Linked DNA regions of Coturnix japonica. The protein of the gene in region 2 purifies or fractionates together with the protein of the main gene of each other region. This does not show direct contact. Links are inferred from orthologs where the notes say so. Each region holds a gene or a part of one and is shown on either strand. Other genes may lie near its edges. The genes, in order: CCT2, STRN3 and CTTNBP2NL.

Evidence for each region.
Region 1: the proteins of STRN3 (region 2) and CCT2 purify together in Homo sapiens (affinity purification with mass spectrometry; 3 studies listed by BioGRID and IntAct, with this or other methods). This does not show direct contact. The link is inferred for Coturnix japonica from reciprocal best matches to the Homo sapiens genes STRN3 and CCT2.
Region 3: the proteins of STRN3 (region 2) and CTTNBP2NL purify together in Homo sapiens (affinity purification with mass spectrometry; 4 studies listed by BioGRID and IntAct, with this or other methods). This does not show direct contact. The link is inferred for Coturnix japonica from reciprocal best matches to the Homo sapiens genes STRN3 and CTTNBP2NL.

The regions. Positions count from the first base shown.
Region 1 is NC_029516.1:32,201,058-32,204,804, reverse strand, and holds the start of CCT2 (T-complex protein 1 subunit beta), read right to left. Parts: upstream 2,755-3,747; 5' UTR 2,622-2,754; coding exon 2,619-2,621; intron 2,293-2,618; coding exon 2,218-2,292; intron 1,664-2,217; coding exon 1,598-1,663; intron 731-1,597; coding exon 619-730; intron 167-618; coding exon 90-166; intron 1-89. UniProt on the Homo sapiens protein: Component of the chaperonin-containing T-complex (TRiC), a molecular chaperone complex that assists the folding of actin, tubulin and other proteins upon ATP hydrolysis.
Region 2 is NC_029520.1:30,850,835-30,854,581, forward strand, and holds the start of STRN3 (striatin-3), read left to right. Parts: upstream 1-1,527; 5' UTR 1,528-1,720; coding exon 1,721-2,035; intron 2,036-2,159; exon of another isoform or gene 2,160-3,342; intron 3,343-3,747. UniProt on the Homo sapiens protein: Calmodulin-binding scaffolding protein which is the center of the striatin-interacting phosphatase and kinase (STRIPAK) complexes.
Region 3 is NC_029541.1:3,554,702-3,558,348, reverse strand, and holds part of CTTNBP2NL (CTTNBP2 N-terminal-like protein), read right to left. Parts: intron 3,257-3,647; coding exon 3,026-3,256; intron 1,251-3,025; coding exon 1,143-1,250; intron 406-1,142; coding exon 1-405. UniProt on the Homo sapiens protein: Regulates lamellipodial actin dynamics in a CTTN-dependent manner. Associates with core striatin-interacting phosphatase and kinase (STRIPAK) complex to form CTTNBP2NL-STRIPAK complexes.

The DNA.
Region 1 (3,747 bases), on a different chromosome or scaffold from region 2:
CACTTCATAAGCATCAACAACACATCTCCTACTGGCATCCCAGGACTACACAGCCTATATGAAACCGTCTAAAAATGTTAATACATCACCCTCAGCAACTCAGCTGCCAACACTGTGACAGACGTAGTTCCATCACCAACTTCATCATCTTGAACCTTTGACATATCTAAAAGAAAGGCACTGCATTAATGCTTGCATTCAAAACAGACTGAACGCCCCTAGCAGCTATTATCTTCAGCATTTGTACCTCACATGACTTTAAGGAAGAAAAAAGAATTCCACTGCCAAAGAGGCTGTCAAACTGTAACTCAGACTGAAACTGAGATGCAAATCAAACACAACATCATCCTTCAAATTCCCCATCGTCGTTTGCAACACAGACCTGTTTTAGCCTATCAGTATTCAAGAGCCACCCCCCTCTCAACGTGTGCCTAAAGATCATGATCAAAATAAAGTAAGGCCAGACAGATGCTCTCAAGTATAGATAAGCAATATCACAGAATATGTCAATTTTTCACACTGTGTAGAATATTTCTCTATGAAGAAGTTAAAACTACGTAAGAAAGTTACAAGTGAAGAAATTCCATGTATGACAATGACAAACTGTTAGAAACTCACCAACCAAGACCTTGGCAGCTGGGTTGTCAACTCCAATAGCTTTCAGGATGGTTGCACCATCATTGGTCACTGTCACCGTGCTATCCCTCCCAGTACTGAGGAGAATCTTGTCCTACGTGATGCAAGAAATAGAACAGTTTGAAAAAGAACAGTAACTATTAAAACTAAATTATCATACAATGGTGCGAGTTAGAAGGGACCTTAAAAACCATCCAGTTTCAACCTCCTGCTGTGGGCTGGTCGCTGTCCACCAGCTCAGGCTGCCGAGGGCCCCATCCAACCTGGCCTTGAACAGCTCCAGGGATGGGGGTATCCACAGCTTCCCTGGACAGCTGTGCCAGGGCCTCTTTACCCTCAGAGTGAAGTATTTCCCCCTTATAACTAATCTAAACCTGCCCTCTTTCAGAGTAAAAATATTACACCTTGTCCCATCACTACACACTCTTCCCAGCTTTCCTGTAGGCTTCTACACCGGAAGGCTGCACTGAGGTCTCCCTGGAGCCTTTGTTTCTCCAGGTTCAACAAGCCAAGCTCCTTCAGCCTGTCTCTGTAAGAGAGGTGCTCCAGCCCTCTCATCATCCCTGTGTCCTCTACTGGACCCACTCCAATAGCTCCACGCTTTTCTTGTGTCAGGCACCCCAACCCAGAGTATTGCAGGCATGTCCTCTTAAGAGAGAACAGGGGGGACAATGCCCTCCCTCTCTCTGCTGATTACAACTGTTTCAATACAGCCCAGAGCATGGTTGGCTTCCTGGACTACAAGCATGCATTGCTGGCTCATATTCAGCTTTTCATTCAACAATCTATCCAAGTCCTCCTCCACAGGGCTCCAGTCATTGCCCAGCCTGTGTTCATGTCTGCGATTGCCTTGACCCAGGTGCAGAATCTTGCACTTGGCCTCACGAACCTCCATGAGGTTTGCGTGGGCTAAAGCCTGAAATGAACAGGTCTGACCACTGAGGACTTGAAGCTATCTTACCATGCCTTTAGGTCCCAGAGTGCTCTTGACCAGGTCACCAATAGCGATTGCACCAACAAAGGATGACTGTAACAAAAACAAATACACCTTAGAAAATTCTTTATTTCTACTTTAAAACAGTAAGTAAGAGCTAGGCTCTAACTTCCAAGGGGACATCTTAACTAAATTCTTCTACAGGCAAACTCCTTCCAGAAGAATCTGGTTCCAAGTTTCTTAAGTGCTACATTTCAGTAACGTACTTAATTTTTGCAGTAAGCATAAAACCACATAACAGAGCCAAAAGACTTCCAAGGAATAAGAACCTCCTAAGCTGAGATACACAGAATCACAGAATGACCCGGGTTGGAAGGGACCTCAAGGATCATGTAGTTCCAACCCCCCTGCCTGGCAGGGCCACCAAACATACACCTTTACTAGATCAGGTTGCCCAGGGCCCCATCCAGCATGGCCTTGAAAGAAGAACACTGCTGATATGAACAAAACACTTCTACCTTCTGTAACAACAAAAGACAAAACGAGACTACTGAAGCTCTACAGCAGTACACATTGAAAGTAAATTTAAATGTAAAAGAACGACTGTAATTACCCAGAGCATCATTTATCTGAGAGAATAAACTTACCAACCGAGCTGTTTCTGCTTTCTCTTCATCTGCACCTGCCTTGAAAATGTTGACGGGAGCGAGAGAAATGGACGCCTACAGCAGAGAGAGCAGAGAATAGTCCCGGAGCTTTGACAAAACACTGTATTCTAAACACAAATCCCCAGCACTAGCAAGCTAAGATGGCTTTAATACTGAAATCATTCCCGTGTCACGCTTGGTTTTGATAACAAGTACATTAATACTGAATAGACCCGCCCGCGGCCTAACGGGCTCGCCTCGTGCGCGCTCTGGAACCTTCCAGGCCCAACCTCCTCCTCCACACTCCACTCCACTCCCCGCCGCTCCGCGCCTCCTTCGTTCCCTCTCCCCCCCTCGGGTGGAAGCTCCGCGGGCGCGGTGCGGGGCCGTCCGTTGCTCACCATGATGCCGAGGGACACACAGCCGGCTCCGGTACGGGACGAGCTCACACACCGCCACACAGCGCCACAGCACGGCGGAATTGCCGTCACAGGAAGCGGCGGGGATGGAGCCGCGCGGCGCTGTGGGAGATGCAGTCCGCACCGAGGCGGGGGGAGGGAGCGGGATGGGGCAGCCCGCCATTACCTCAATGGGGGCATACAGGAAAGGGACTTGTCACAGAGCACAGAGCATGTACAGCTACTAAGCTGTACACTGAAACAGGGCTCGTTGAGATTAGACATTTATATATGAGGGTGACGGAGCACTGGAACAGGCTGCCCAGGGAGGTGGTGCAGTCTCCTTCTCTGGAGATATTCAAGACCCTCCTGGACACCTACCTGTGCGACGTGGTGTAGGGAGCCTGCTTTGGCAGGGGTGTTGGACTCAATGATCTCTAGAGGTCCCTTCCAACCCCTACAATCCTGTGTGATATTACAGAAGAGCAAAACAGGCTACTAATGCAGTATGCACCCACACTAACAGCAGCACATATTAAAGTAACCCACACGTTATTTTCAATGTAAAATCAATAGTTTATTGCCATGCTACAATTATTATTATTTTTTTTTCCAAATGAAGTTGGCACTGGTAAAGGGGAAAACATCATAATACATAATACAGCTTTAAAGGTGAACATTTGGTAAGCTTTCTCAATTAGGATCGCTTCAAACAAGGGGGGGGGGGGGGGGGNCTGTTTGTTTTTTGTTTGTTGGGGTTTTTTGTGTGTTTTTTTTTTTTTAAGATTAACATGGAATGGCATAAAAATACACTCTTTCTGCATAGTATAATTTTCATCAAAGAAATATGGAATGTCTGTAAAAACAAATTCATCCAACAGGGCAAATGAAGTTTTATAAACAGTTTGGCAATGATACTCTCACTGTTTAGACCTTTTTATATAAAAGAAATAAAAATCTAGAAAGCTACCTTTATACAAAGTTGCTATATTTATGCCTTTAAGTAGGAAAAAAAAAACATTTTATAATGCAAATTAGGACATACAATAATCTTACAATATCATACAATGTAATGACAAGAAAGGAACATACAACGTAAGATTTTGGCCTTTTGTAGAAACACGTATTTCTG
Region 2 (3,747 bases):
AATTAAAAATGGCCCAGTGGCCCAGTGCGAGCAGGGGACAGCAGGTGGGCAAACACTTTTGAGGTATACACTGGTCTGATCAACTTTCCAGCTACGAGTCTGCTGTGAAAAAGCATGTAGCAAATGAAGACAGTTCATATGGTTTATACCTGTGTTCTATTTATTTTTGTTGTTGTTCTGACTGTGCACAGGCTTTACTAAAACTCGTATCAATAAGAGTGACCATTTTTGTATTCTGGGCCTTAGCCTTCAAATTACTGTCCACCCAGAAATGAAACAACTTTGTCAACGTGGCTTTGAAATAAATCACCATATTTAACTTCAGGATGAGGAATTTTAAGAAAAGCAGCCTTACTAATCTGGGGAAGCCAAGGAGGAAGGAAGCAGCTAAAAAAGTTTTCCTTTGCAGAGCGGTTGTCAGCATGCTGCCTGAATATAGTAACGGAGCTAAACTGCAGCACTTCCAAGGTAATGGGCAATGAGGAATGTCTCAAGGGCTGGAGTAAAACAAAGGGCCAAGAGGACTGTGAGGTAAGGGGCAATTTTTGGTCACGATTTGATACTGTCTGGGGAGAATGAAAAAATCTGCTGAGGTGGAAAAGTTGGATTCAGACAGGCTGATCAGTGTGGAAAAGGGAAGACTGAGGAAATGATGGTAGGAAATGACTTAATGGAGAAAAGTCGGATAGGAACTGGTAAAACAACTGAAACAGCAACATGCACCTGAGGTCAGCAGAGAGGAAATGCCAGCACTGGGACAAGCAGGATTTATTTTTCGGCATTTAATACAATTACAGCACTGTCAAGAACGAGCCCATTAAGGACACCATCCATGTTCCACCCATATATACAGCATATGCATTTTTAGGGAAGTAAAACCGAACCCGTGTGTTATTTGTGAAGGGGCGGCCTACAGATCCACCAGGACGTGGTGGGCACTTGGTAGCGCTGCATTTCAGGGCAGTGCTGTGCAGCCCAGCTTTCACCACGTCCATGCTGTGCAGCCAACCCGGGCTGTGCTGCCATGGCACACCAAACCTGCTGCTAATGTGCGCGCTCGTTCTTCCCATCACGGAGGGGAAACATTACACAAACCCCTCAACTACAACAGCACGAAGACGACCTTCATTACAATACAATTAGGATCGGGCACCGCCAGAGCACTTTCAGCCAACCTGTTCTAGAACCACCTACTTGTGAGACACACCGAGCAGCGCCCAGCACAGCCCGGCGAGGCACAACCGGAGCGGCCTTACAGCCCCTCCCAAAGCGGCCGCCCCCCGCCCGCTCAGTGAGCAGTATCGGTATCGGTATCATCAGTATCAGTATCAGTATCAGTATCAGTATCAGCCCGCACTGCCCCTCAGCGCAGCCCCCCCCAGGTCACGGCGCTCACCTCCCCCAGGCGCATGCGCGCTCCGCCGCCTCGTCGGGCCGGGAGGAAGGAGCGGAGGGGAGAGGGGAGCGAGTTCCCGGCATGCCCCGCGCGCCGTGCCGCTCCCCCTTCCCGTGTGGGTGGGCCGAGGCCCGGCGGGCTGTAATGGCGGCTGGCGGCGGCTGGGCGCTGCTCTGACACCCGGATACCGCTCGGCGCGGCCCCCCGCCTCCCCGTACCCGGCCCGCCCCCTCCCGCCCGCCGCAGCCAGCGCCGCTCGCCCCCTCCCCGGCCCCCGTTCGTGGCCCCCCGCCGCGGGACGAGAAGGAGGGCTCCCCGCAGACAATGGACGAGCACCCCGGAGCCGGAGGAGGCGGCGGGATGGCGGCCGCGCCGAGGCCGCAGCAGCCCTCGCCGCAGAGCGGGGGTAACGCGAACCTGCAGCCGGGCGGGGGCTGCGCGGGGGCCGGAGCCGGCGGCGGAGGGCAGCAGCAGCCGCAGGGCCCCGCGGCCCCGGGCGGGCAGGAGGCGGCGGGCCCCGCCGAGCTGTCCCGGCCGCAGCACTACACGATCCCGGGGATCCTGCACTACATCCAGCACGAGTGGGCCCGCTTCGAGATGGAACGGGCGCACTGGGAGGTGGAGCGGGCCGAGCTGCAGGTACGGGCCCAGGGTGGGCTCCGCGCGCGGGGCCGGGACCGACTCGGGGTCTCGGGGCCGCACGGGAGAGCGGGGCCGGCGGGTCGCCAAGGCCGGGGCGGTCGCTGCGGGACGGGAGCGGTACCTGCGCGAGGGCCGGACGGCGAAGCGACGTCGCCGGGCGGCGGGGCTGGCGGAGGCGCGGCCGCTCACGGCCCGAGCTGGGCTCCCTTCCCTGGGGCAGCCATTTTGGTTTTTAGCATGGCGCCCGCCTGGGCTGTTGGCGCCGGAGCCAACCCGGCTCCGCGGGCCTCGAGGGCCGCAAAACGCCGGAGGAGGGCGGGCGGCCGCTGAGCGCGCTGATCGGTCGTGCGGGGCAGGGCCCGGAGCGCCCTGACAGCTGCGGTCCCCTCCCCGAGCACAATGACTCGGGGGCTTTCGGAGCCCGGCCCTGCTCAGCCCTGGGTGCTGCTTTGGGAAAGCTGCGGCCCGCGGGCGTGGAAGGATACGGCTTCACCGGAGCTGAGCGAGCGGCTCCTTCGGGGTAGCGGGGAGGCGGCGGTGCCTGCCGAGGTGGGAGAACGCTGAGAACGGGGTCGAGAAATCTCGCAAGCAACGGACTTGACCGGGTTCTCACGGTGGAGACAGGTCGAACACATGCTCTCTTTCCTTCCTTTTTGTTTCTTGGGAGACCTCACGTGGGAGAAGCAACTGCTGAAGAATAGTGAGGAGCTGATGGGTCTGCAGTGTGATCCTTGTCCTACAAATACAAACTCTGTGTCAGGAGCAAAAATTGAACAACTCTAGAGGGCAGGGAGCAAGTGTTTGAGTTCCAGCATAGATCTCTGGCCATAAATGTTTGCTTTTCATAATGGAAAAGATCTCTTGTATTTACGTGTTCATATAAAAAATAAAGCCACGCATCACAAACTTATGTTCAGTTTATGAAATCTACAGAGTCTGAGGCATTTGTCTATAAGTTGTGCATTTTTTTTTCTCCTATGAAAGCATAACAGTTAAAATTGTTTAAAAAAGAATGTTTCTTGTTATGATTTATATGTTGGGTGAATGTTTGCAGTCTTGAAGCAGCATTCCATCAAATCACGCCTTACCTGCAGTTTGTGGAAACATGCTGTAGCAGCAGCCAGTGTTTGTGATGTACGTCTGTGTACATCTTGATGTATGTCTGTGTACATCTTCAGACTGTAGAATGGAGAACTCTACCTAAACCTGGACAATTCTTTCAGGATTTTTCAACTCTTAGACCACATGTGTAATTTGCAGGGTTGTTGTTGTTACAGCTTGAATTGAGATAGAATAAAAGAAAACAAAACATCACACCTTCCCCCTCCTCCCCCCAGAAAAAAATAAATAAATAAATAGTAAGAGAGATTTTGCTATTTATTTCACTTACTGCCTGATTTACTATTTTAAACCTTTCAGAACAGCTGATCCTAAAATCACTGTGGTGGAAATGGGGTGGGTATTTTCAGTAGCAATGGACTTGTTCTCATATCTTCTGTAGCGTCTCAGTAGTATAGTACTGTATTGATAGGTAAATAAATAGCTCAGTGGTGTTCATTATCAAGCAAGACCATCTTGAAGTACTTGTTTTGTGTATAGGCTTGTGACTTCACAGTGAAGTACCTCGTTCTATAAATGTAAGGTGCAGTTTTGAGATGTTGAAAACTCTGACTGGAAGTGCTGGTGTGAACTCATGTGGCCTCTAGATA
Region 3 (3,647 bases), on a different chromosome or scaffold from region 2:
GCAAGCAGCCTCCAGCTCTTTCAGGGCTTTCTTCAACGATTCCACTTCTTCTTTCAGTGCTTTTGTACGGTTCTCTTCCCTGTTCAGCTTGGCTTTCAGCTGCTCTCTTTCGATGTCAAACTCCGAAAGCTGCTTTTCTACTTGTGCTTCCATCTGTAAGCCCCGCTTCCTCTTGGATGCCAGCTCCTCCTCCAGCTTACTCACCTTGCTCTTCTCTTTTTCCAGTTTCAAGCTCAGTTCTGCCGTCTTCTGACTCTCTTCTGCTGCTTTGGCAGTGGCTTTCTTGCACTCTACAACAAGCATGGAGGACAGCTGCTTGTGGCGTGCCCTCTCCTCCTCCAATTGACTCGAGAGTTTCTTCTGTTCTTTCTCAAACTTCTTAACCTGGGATCTTTCAAACTCCAGCTGGAAGAGAGGAGCAAAGAAAGGCTGTATGGGAAGCACAACGCCTCCACAAAGCATAACAACCCAAAAGCAAAAGGGTTTACAACACACGTTGGAAATACTGCCCAGAAAAAGATGGCTATGCCTAAGGTGAATAAAGAAGCCCTTCCCCTGGTGTCTGTGGGACAGCCTTGTACAATAAGGAGCTCTGTTCATGTACATTATGGATTATTACTTACTAGCACATGAAATTCAGTTGGCATTAAGCTACACGCAGCTGGCACGCACTGATCTGAAGCAAATCTTCCTTCCACCCCATCTACTGCTTTGTCAGTTTGCCTTTTAGAAGCATTTAGCCTTTAAAATGCTGATGTGTTATTTATGTTTATTAAAGCCCACAGTGCTTCAGTAACAGAAAATAGCAGCTTAAATATTTATTATAATCTCTCAACAACCCCCTTAGGAGACCTTTCATGATTTATTCTCATTTTTAAGTACTAGAAAGCATCATCACTTGTGAGCAGGGCTCTGGGCTCTTCAGAACTGCACAGATTTTGGTCTGAAGTAAGATTACAAAGCACTCATTTATGAACAGCTTACCAGAAAACTACATCTGTTTTTCCTATTGAAATGATAATAACTCAGAGGGACTCACAAAGGTGTGAGGCTCATGATATTCTTTTGACACTGAGGTGTGATCTGGCCTCAGCAAACCAACTGAAGCTGCATGGAACCACGGGCTGGGCAGTGAGCTGTACCTGCTGGGTGAGTCGTTCCCGTTCCTTCTCCAGCATGTAGGTGACATCATCCCCCTCTGCTGTGTCCTGGGCATGTCGCTGCCTCTCCTCCTCCAGGTCCAGGATCACCTGCCAAGCAAACACTGGTCACCACAGTGCCCTGCTGTGCTCACATGCTGAACAAAACACAGAGACCTGCACCCACACTGCAGTTAGCTTATACAAAAGAGCCACCACTGTGTTATCTGTCACTACTGGCTGCACCTTACCTGTCACCTCCTGTCTGCACCTCTAACAAAGCCAACAGGAGCAGAGCACGTGGCACAACAGGCTGCAATTTGCAGACAGATTGCTCCATTTGAGGGCTGCGGAGCAAAGTTTATTTTAAAGAACATTCATTTCTTCTTCCACTTAAGAATGAGATGAGCTCTTGAAATGAAACCGCTTGCCATAAGGACCCGGTTAAGGAGCTCCTTCAGTTTCTATGCTGATCTAGAACAACTGAAATTCTATTAGCTCAACAAAAAGAAAGCCAAATATGGTGGAGTCTCTTGGGTGAGTTTGCATCACCCTGCAGACCTCCAGGCCTTCCAAAAAACAGCGACCAGGAATTTACAGCAGCTTCTCAGTCTTCCTGCAATTTAGGCTTCCAAACAATGCTTGTATATCTTTCAAGTACACAGGGAACCTTTTTATTAGAGGAAAAGAGGGGGGGGGGGGGGTGAAATCTGATTTTCCTGTGAATATTTAGCTAGATTCTTGTCTGAAAGGTGACACACATCATGCTTCCCATGACTCCCAGCACACCAATGGGCAGTTGAAAGCTCCAGCTGCCAGCACTCAGCACACTGATGGGAAGCCCAGCTGGCAGCTCATATCACTGTGAGTGATTTCTGCATCAGAAATGCTTCACGCTCCTCACAGACTGAAAGAACCTTGCTCTGCCATATCCCCATCAAAACAGTAGCTAAAAATAAGACTTAAATTTGGCACTGTAAAAGCTTACTCTGATGCGAGTAAAAGCAAAATCCCAGCTGCTTCTCAGTATGTAACCCAATGGAACAGGTTGCCCAAGGAGGCTGTGGATGCCCCATCCCTGCAGGCATTCAAGGCCAGGCTGGATGTGGCTCTGGGCAGCCTGGGCTGCTGGTTGGTGACCCTGCACATAGCAGGGGGTTGGAACTGGATGAGCATTGAGGTCCTTTGCAACCCAGGCCATTCTATGTGAAGAGGCTGAGACACAGCACTGCAGTGCAGGTGCTGGAGATAACACCATGTAAACAGAGGGATTTGTGTGTTTGTTTTTTAAGAGCTAAGTAGATAAAAGAAGAAAGTACTTTGTAGTGGGTCTTTGAGTTCTATACACTGTGGCTTTATCCTCCTCTAACAAACTAAGGTGTGCTAGATGGGCAAGCCTATGGGAAGAAGCCTGATTGAACATCACTGATGACAACTCATTCAAGGTACATTCATGTACAAGTGAGTTATTAAAGAGACCAAACAGCATGAAAAGCAGCTTTGGCCACGTCACACTGTGTTAGGAAAGCTCATCTTATAGGAGGCACTCTCCCATAAGTAGGTGGTACCAGATCCTTGATGATCATAGGGAACAGTGATATGTCTGCTCAGAATTCAACCACCCAGCTATTCTCTTACATTTGCAACTACATCTCTTGGTTCTGGGCAAGGTAATTCCTTCTGCATGTCCTCTAATAGAAACCTCAATGTTATCACTACAGTTGCTGAGCCTCCCAGTTGCATCATAGAGTGACAAGTAGCTCACATGAAGGTGCACAGCCCTTTCAGTCACCAAAATCCAAGCATTTCAGTGTTGTTATCGAAACCAACATAACTTCAAAAGGCAGCTATCCACCTCTGTGTAGCTTATTAGAAGCAAAACGTACCTTTCTGTGCCTGCTTTCTGCAGCAGCTAGTTGGGATAACATTCTTTCCTGCATATTCTTGCAGTGTTTCATCACCACCTTCAGGATGGATAAGGGGTTGGAGCACACTGGCTGCTTTTCGCCATGATTCGCCTCTTTCAGGGCCTCAAAATCTCTCTGCAAAGCCATTAATGGATCACTGATGTTGTACTTTCCATAGCGTTCTTCAATGAAGGTGTCCCTGTGCTGGGCCTGTGTATCAAAACAAATTTGCACGTCAATATACTTAAAGCACAAACCCTGCTAAACAAAATAAAAGGAAATTGTTGAGAGTTCACATCCCCCCTTCCCAGGTCATTCTGTGATATCATGATATTGCTGATGAGGGCACTTAGAACAACATCAGCATCACTGCTCACTTCCTCAGCAGGAACATGATGGGCAAACCATTACCAAGCATCAACCATTTCTTACAGGATTGCTTAAGGACAAATTTTAGGTAGGAGAGCTCCATTCTGACTGACAAATACTGCCTTCTCTGCTCTCTTTTCATTGGGAAAGGTGCTTTCTGACATCTCAATAAACAGCACTGAGAAATAAAATGCTTCCCTCAAGCGTACAACAGCGAGAGCTGCTCCAAACA